Nothobranchius furzeri: one gene and its partner. The protein of the gene in region 1 interacts with the protein of each later gene in a biochemical or structural test. Links are inferred from orthologs where the notes say so. Each region holds a gene or a part of one and is shown on either strand. Other genes may lie near its edges.

Region 1 (4,299 bases):
TATATTTATTTATAACATGCATGTTAAAATAAGACAGGTCTTTAATAAATCCATGTTAGGAAAAAAAGGCACAGTATCTGAATTAATGTTTAGATATTGCATTTTAATGAACATGTTAACCAAATCTAAATTGCATGAAAAGGACAGCAAAAATAAAACAGCAGCAATGTATCAACCTTTGTGAAGAAAAGGGAGAAAACGGTAGGTTTAACAGTGAGAAGGGGCGAGAATACAGCATCTCCACACTGTACAGTGAATCATCCTTCATTTTAAGCCAGAAGGAATCAAAAAATTATTAAATAGCATGTTCAGCTATCAGCATCTCTCACCAGACAACACAATTCACCAGCGCTACACAGTAACCACTATTCAGAATCCCAGCAACAGCACCTAATTAGCATAGCCTATCACCACAGAGATACAGCGTGATTTGGCAAGCCCATCAATGCACAGACCAATCACAACGCAGTATGCAAATAGCCTACTTTTGTTGCCAGGGCAGAGCTGCTCCCATTTTCCAATGAGAAAACAAGAAATAAACAAGAAATAAAACTGAACTTTGGCACACTTAGACGTTGCTTTCAACACAAGAGCTTGACAGTAAAATAGCTGCACAGCCTAAAACCTGCACTTCATCTGAGAGCGTTAGAAAGCTGACCCAGCTTTGGAAAAGCAGAAAATACACATCCACTGACAGAAACAAGAGGAACTGTAAAGTGATAGAGCACAGACAACAAGGTATTTGAGAGCCAAGACGCATCTCTTTTTTCAGCCACTATAAATATGTTAAAATACACATTTATACCTTTTCAGAATGTAATTTAAACAAATTAAAAAGTGAATTACACTTAAGATTATATTAAATATTTGTTCATCTTATGAGCTCTAAATATATCCTTATTATCCATCATGTCTTTGTTACTGTTTATCCTGCTGTGTAAAATAAATGTTACCATTATAACCTAAATAACTAAATAAAAACTACCATCAACAATTTAAAAATAATAACTACAGTCCCGGGCAGTTCAGATTGTGTGACTTGGTCCTGCTCATGATGACTCATAGATGTTAAGTCTTGAGGCCAAATTCAAAACAGCAACATAAGTTAGAAAAGATCATAAGTGAACTAGTTTTCCCCAGCAAAGGGTTAAAGCCTAATGTACAGCTGCTAACCTGGATGCATCTTCTGTTTAATTTCATATCATCCTGGGAGGAGAGTCCAGCAGCAAACCACAACCCACTACAAAGAATAAAAACACTTTATTATAATTTTGCATTTTGGGTGGGATTTAACATCACTGAGATTAAACCTGAGTTAAGAATCAGTGACAGATGGCCACCAAAGATGATAAGGGACCCCCAAAAACTTGTAAAAGTGAGCTGGATGTGAATGCTGTGGAAATAAAACAACTTAAAGCATATTTTAAAAATGTGTGTTAAAAGTTTTAAATTTCAGGTTTTAACTATGAGCTGCTTGAGATTTTAATGAATTAAAATTCAATCGCAAAGCTGTAAAACGGTTAAAAAAATAAATTAAACAAATCAGAATTCACATTGTTGTGGGCCTTGAGGCTTTAGCTTCTTTTAGTATACTCTAGGGTAAAAATGTTATTTAAACGAGAATTTTAGCTTTAAATATACACCAATAAAATAGACAACTGTTCGTCTGAACACAACTATATTTAGTGTACAGGACTATGTAATTTTACAAAGAACTGGAGGGAAGTAACTAGTTTGAGAGTGCTTTACTTCTATTAGACAGTCTTGAGACTTGATTTTATTTAAAACGTTTAAACTAATTGTAATACAAGTAAAATAATAGTGGTACAAAATGCCAATTTTTAGCACACTTGTAGCTCTTTAGTCTTTTCCTAAACGTCTGCTTTATCTTATTCTTCAGTACTAAGAAATGAACAGTTCCTTTCTTGGCTCTGGTCATTATGGCATCTGTGGGCCTATTTATGTGTAAATATATCGACAGCTAGCTTGATATTAGAAGCCGAATCGTACAAAAGGATGCTTAAAGATCTCTGTAACAAGCCCCGTGTGTCATCCTCTCACGCCCAACTGATTAGATTCATTCCAAAGATGGATCAAACATAACCGATCCAAAACAATTAAATGCTAAACGTTCGCGGGGAATAAATATATACCGAGTCGGTCTGTACTTACAGATGATAAGGTAGATCTCGTCATGGTTGGAATTTAGAAAGCATATTCAGTGTTAATTTTCGTCTTCTCTTGCTTACATATTGTTCGTGAGGCAGTCCAAATCCTCAAATAGATGATATTCCCCGTCACGTTACCGCTAGCGGACTAACTAGCTATAACGCTGTCGTCGTTACCCTGAAAACTGCGGGGCAGATGAGCATATCTCTCACCAGCCCGACGTTAGCTAGTGACGCTGTGTGCAGCCAGCGGGCTATGAGGCCCATGCAGTAGATCAAATCGGGGAGGTAAGCTAACACGGCTTCAATCATACAATGACAGGACCCAATATAGCACGGTTAGCAGGAACATTAACACCGTGCCATCACGACTCTCCGTCCAAACTCACAGTCAGCTGGAAATTCCTTCACGTTCAGCATTAAAACCCGTCTCTTGACCTACTGACTGTAAGCAAACGTTAACCCTGGCTCCACAAAATCTCTTAGCCGCCACAACTTCACTACCGCCTCCATCATTGTTAACCATTCACGCTACATGGGACATATATACGTACGAGAAAAGCCAAATTAACGCAAATGTGAAATAGAACAGTTTGGATCTGCTTACCTCTAATGGCACGATCTTCATTTAAAGTCCAATAACCTGTATGATGAGGAAACTTATCCAGCTTGATTCTCCACCTCCCTGCACGGTTAGCGAGTAAATCCAATCCCCCGTCCTCTGGCCGGCTAAAATAACTCACCAGTCACATCTAGTACGCGCTTCATTGTCCAAGCCTTGCTGAGCAACATCCGTGATCGAAGTAATTTCATCAAACGTTACTATCAGCTGATGACCAACAACATGCTAACTAGCACGGGTAACTTACTGGCTAACCTTAGCTGGTTCACAAAATGAAGGCAGCTAACATCAGCTAGCTCCTTTGACTTAGCCTGAAGCTAACGATTCTAGCCACCGCTAAATAAACGTTATGCCAAATTCTGATTTAACGCTCGTCTTTGCGACTGAAATGTCGGTCACCTCGATGAGCGGCGACAACGCGATTACATCTAGTGCATTTTAAACACTAAGCAGAAGCCGTGTCCTCTGATAAATTTTGGTTTGGAATTTTGTGTCAATTTTCACAAAATGGCGCGCGGTCCAAACCTGCGCAGTGAACCGGCCCGGTGGACCAGAGACACGGACAACTGAGTTAGTGCGGCACCGCCTAATTATTTCAACTAGGTTAAAACGTCGGGCTCTTTGTCTTCTTAATAATCCGATCCACTAGACGCATCTCGATATCCAAAAACGTCAAAAATATATCCACTGACAGCATTATTCCGGCGGGAAGGGAGAACATTTGAAAAGACTGAGCTGGGGGGGAAAAAAACCCTCCTGACAAAATGGCGATGCTCTAGCTTGTTGCTATGGAAACTGTCAATCAAAAAAGAAAAAAAAAGAGAAAGAATACCCGGATGTGCCAATGACGAATAAATTCGGAGCTGGCCAGAGTTACAGCGCACACAGGAGTCCAGCGGTGCCCCTCTCCGTGTTTTTAACCTCATTCGGCCTGTTGCTATTTTTTTTGGATGACGATGCTTATTTTATTCCGATAATATTTCACTATGTGGTGGTTCCTCCTCAGCATATTTTAAATCCAATAATGATGATGATGATGATGAAAATAATAATAATAATAATAATAATAATAATAATAGTTATATTTAAGTAATATTATCTCAGCAAAACAAATAAATGCTGAAAATTCTATTTTTAATAAACAATTAGCCTATTAAGTACCAACACAAATGACTGTTATTGACAATATTGAAATTATTAGCACGTAAATTAAATTTGAACAGGATCATCAAATCTGCAGTCCTTGTTCTGTACAAAAAATTTAATAATTAAAACTAATTTAAGCTACAAGTTTCAGATGACTTCTAACAAATGGAAATGTTATGTTATTATATTCTAATTTCTAACCATCCATAAATGTTTTTTTAGCTAAAGGGTAAAATGTTGATATAAACCAAGTTTATGTGAAACCAAATAGCTATCTATAACTGTATTTTTGTTTGTTTTCCCATGAGTACATTATACCAGAGGTGTAGAATGGAGCATGGGCACAATTATGGTGTGAGGACG
Region 2 (4,085 bases), on another chromosome or scaffold:
CTAGCGTCTTCATACCAGAGCCACTACACACTTCCTCTGCTGGAGGCAAGGCAAACAAATCATTTCTAAAATTAATTATTTCACAAAATGAATCAATCTGATTTCTGCAACATTAAAATATTGATTTGCTTTACCACCAAATGTAGATCACTCTGGGGTGATTTTTTTATTATAGATGAACATTTTCTTGTTAAAGTGGCATTAAAGTTTTATTAAACCTTCTACAAACTATTTATTATCATTAAAGAACCGACATCATGGCTGCCATCTACCCTGCTGTTTAAACTCACATTATTTTACACAATTTGCTACCATTTCAGTTTATTTACACATGTCGCTGAAGAGGAGGTGTACAACGATTCTCTTACGCTAGAAACATTAAAAACATTTTTATCTTCTTTTAGGATAATATCAGCACTTAGCTACATCTCTCTAATCCACACTCCAGAAGGATTATTACAATGGAGGCGGGAGGGAATGGATTAAAACAAGAGCTTGTGCATCCATCATATTCTTGAGCATTTGCTTGTGTGAGCTCTTGGTGGCATGCACTCATTTCTTACTTGTTTACATTTAACAAGACTGACCTAAATCCTTGTTTTAAAGATCTTACGGCCAACCTGTTTTATGCAGACTCTAAATTACAATTGCACTTTCAATAACATCTACTCTGATTTTGAATAATAAATAACATCCATGTGATTTTAGCCTATTTTGAACAAACAAAAAGTAAATCTGATTCTGCAACTAAACGTAGTAGTGGAAAGGCTACTAGCACCACCTGGTGGTGATAGACGTAAACAGCTGATTGGGAAAACTAAAAACTACACGAACACATCACAGCCTATGTTTTCATGTTGTTTGTGTGTTTTGTACTTACACTCCTCTAAACCCAGCTGGTAAGCCAGGTTCTGAAGTCCTTTGACCTTCTCCATCAGGTTAGCTGTTGTCAGACTACCCAGCTCTGCAGAGTGATTACAAGGCAAAGATTTTAAGCTCCAGTTTGATCAACTCAGTTTCTCCTTGACAAGATTATATATTTATGGAAACACTAACCAGTACAACAGTTTTAACATGAAACGCTGCAGGCACAGAGAAAATCTTTCTAATTAAACATATATTAAAAAAAAAAACAATTGTACCAACCTTTTAACATCTCGATGTCCTCGCTTTCCAATTCAGCCATCCACTTAGGGGGTGAGCTTGTAATGGGCTGTAATAAAAATAAATGATATTATACGGCAATGCCAAATCTAAATGATTATTTAATGTATTAATCTCAGTTAATGACAAAAAACGTATCTTACGTTTTTATAGGATGCAGCAAATTCTGCAACTCCGGGTACTGTGTGAGAAATGACAGGACAGATAAGGTTAAACTGTGGGACCATAAAGAAGCACAGAGGAGATGAAAACTTACACTGCTCAGGCCACAGGTCTGGTGACGCTCTGTCCAGCTTTTCTAAACTAAGCAAAGAGCTTTCAAAATCATCACCTGGCAAAGAAAAGGAAGTAAAATTATGTTCAGAATTCAGGCAGAAATTTCAGAGCTTTAGAACAAAATGTGATCTTCTTGATGTAAATACAAGTAAAATGTGTGACTTATGGACCATTCCCATCTGTACCGGGTCGGCCCGGGCCGGGTAGCCCCAGTCGGCCCCATCCTGGCCCGGTTGATTCCACACATCCTTGTCTTACGCCCATGTGGGCTGATTCTACCCACCAATCAGAGGCTTGCTCTAATGGAAGGTGTGAATTTGCTGTCAGCAGTGGGTGTGTTGGCCCTGGTCGGCCTGAAGCAGACCCCCTCGAGAAGAGGGCTGAGAATGAGCCTTGGTTGGTCCGGAAAAATACCAGGCCACCCAGATATGTAAACAACCAACGCTACCCGGCCCGGACCGACCCGGTACAGATGGGAATGGCCCATATGACTACAGCCAAACAAATGTCAAAATGTAACCACAACAGTTAATACAATATGTTGGCTGTATTAAAACAAAATATGTGTACAAGATAAATACTGATTAATCAGCTGTTCTTAAAAAAATTACTAATATTTGGGAGGTTTAGTTTATTTATCATACCTTTCATTTTTAAATGTTGCTTGATTCAAGTCCCTATACAACCATTTCTGCTAGGCTGTGACAACAACTGTGTGCTGATTATTCAAAAACTATTCTTAAAACCAATATTTAGTGTAACAATTTGTGTTAGCATTATGCTTCCTAATACATGACCCTACATAGTGTGTGTGTGTGTACATATATATATATATATATATATATATATATATATATATATATATATATATATATATATATATATATATATATATATATATAACCTTTCAAAAACCTTTCAAAATATGTTGATGTGAAACAAATAATGCCTCAAAATGTTGGAAAAATGTCGTAAATATTAATTATTAGGCCAGTATTTAACAAAGAGGCAACTCAAAAGCTAGTAGTATTTAAAATATCAGGAGTTACGGAAGGTCTGCAGCCAGCTGTCTACTGTTCTTCCTTGAACGTTGGTGGACTAACAACACCGGGGCTAGTGGAGCCTTCAGTCAAACAAAACCACCTCCGAGAAGTCGGACTACAACGCTGATATGTGTAGTTCTGAATTCTGGGTGTTCAGCTACATCATCAATACATTCGTGGAATAATTTGTGTGATTTAAAGTGTTAAATTTTACATTTTTTAACAGCGTATCTGTGTAAGGAATTAAAATTTACCTCCATTCGGAGACGCCATCTTCACAATAATCACGTGACCCGTGACAACGAATAGGAGTCAATGTTGACAAAGCCTTGTAAATTCACAAACACACCACAAGAGGTCACTCTTACACACCAAAGCCGTGTTCCTGGGGGTAAAATGAATAAACTAATAATTTTATAATAAGTGTCAGGGGCGATCCTAGCATCAGAGGTTTAGGGGTGCTAAGCACACAGCGAGTTCCATGGCCAGGCAAGATACATTTCAACATTTTGTACAATTTTACACAATTTCATTCCAACATTTGTGAAAGAAAAGAAAATCGGTGTTTTTACAAATAGATCTGTGGTTTTACATATCACAATCTATGTTGAACAGATTTTGCTATCTGTGTACAACAATTTGGTCCAAGTTCGAAGAGTCTGGGTCAGTGGTTCCCAACCCTTTTTCTTTGATGACCCAATACAGGATCTATTTTATGGTTTTTGGTGCAATATTTTCTAACAGTGAGTGAAAGTCCGTTTTATTTATTTCTTTTTTTTGTTTGTTTGTTTTATTCATTTATTTAGAAGTTCGATTCTGAACATTCTAATGTTAACAAGAGTTTTATTTGCTGCATTTTAAAGGGTGTACTTGCATTATTATGATATATTAAAATTATATAAGTGATTATTTTGGTCTCGATAATGTCAACAATAATATTGTTTATTGGCAATAATTTGTTGGACAATATATTGTCCTGCAAAATCTGTTATCGTCCCAGGCCTAGTTCACTTGTACAAACTACTTAAAAATTAAAAATCAGCAAATCTATTTTATTTTTCTGTGTACAACAAAATTTTAGCTATTAGCTATAGCTGGGGCTATTAGCAGTTAAAACAGAGATGGATTTTTTTTAAGCTTTATTAAAATAAGAGGCTAAATATTCTCTTCAGAATGTCTAAAAGGAACGTGCAGTACCAGATTTCAGTTGGAAATTAGAGTGTCGTTCTATTTATTGCCAGCGGAGCTAGCAACTATATGTGATTGAATTTTTGAAAAATCTAAAGAGGCTAAATATTCCCTTCTAAATGGATTTAAAAATCGGATGTGCAGTATCAAATTTCAGACACTAGAGGGCAGCAAATACTCCCTTCTTGTCTGCATGCAGTTGGAAACCTGTGTTGTTCTGTTATTTGCCAGCAGAGGGCGCACATTCTCCATTCTTTCAACGAAACAAGTGTTTTAAAAAATAGAGCAAGAGTTTCTACTAAGTCCGTCTTGTAAAAATCTATTTAGACAAAGAACAAAAAGAACCCATATTCAATTTGGTTACTTGTTTCTTAACTTATAAACTTTCTAAATAAATTATATCACTTAAAAGTA

The links. The genes of interacting proteins can lie anywhere in the genome.
Region 2: of the proteins of dyrk1ab (region 1) and lin52, one has a biochemical effect on the other in vitro, tested with the Homo sapiens proteins (3 studies listed by BioGRID). The link is inferred for Nothobranchius furzeri from reciprocal best matches to the Homo sapiens genes DYRK1A and LIN52.

Annotation. Positions count from the first base shown.
Region 1 is NC_091753.1:50,166,886-50,171,184, reverse strand, and holds the start of dyrk1ab (dual-specificity tyrosine-(Y)-phosphorylation regulated kinase 1A, b), read right to left. Parts: upstream 2,914-4,299; 5' UTR 2,776-2,913; intron 2,333-2,775; exon of another isoform or gene 2,173-2,332; intron 1,241-2,172; 5' UTR 1,184-1,240; coding exon 1,174-1,183; intron 1-1,173. UniProt on the Homo sapiens protein: Dual-specificity kinase which possesses both serine/threonine and tyrosine kinase activities. Exhibits a substrate preference for proline at position P+1 and arginine at position P-3.
Region 2 is NC_091758.1:32,967,707-32,971,791, reverse strand, and holds the start of lin52 (protein lin-52 homolog), read right to left. Parts: upstream 2,840-4,085; 5' UTR 2,757-2,839; coding exon 2,738-2,756; intron 1,496-2,737; coding exon 1,421-1,495; intron 1,346-1,420; coding exon 1,308-1,345; intron 1,214-1,307; coding exon 1,147-1,213; intron 965-1,146; coding exon 881-964; intron 1-880.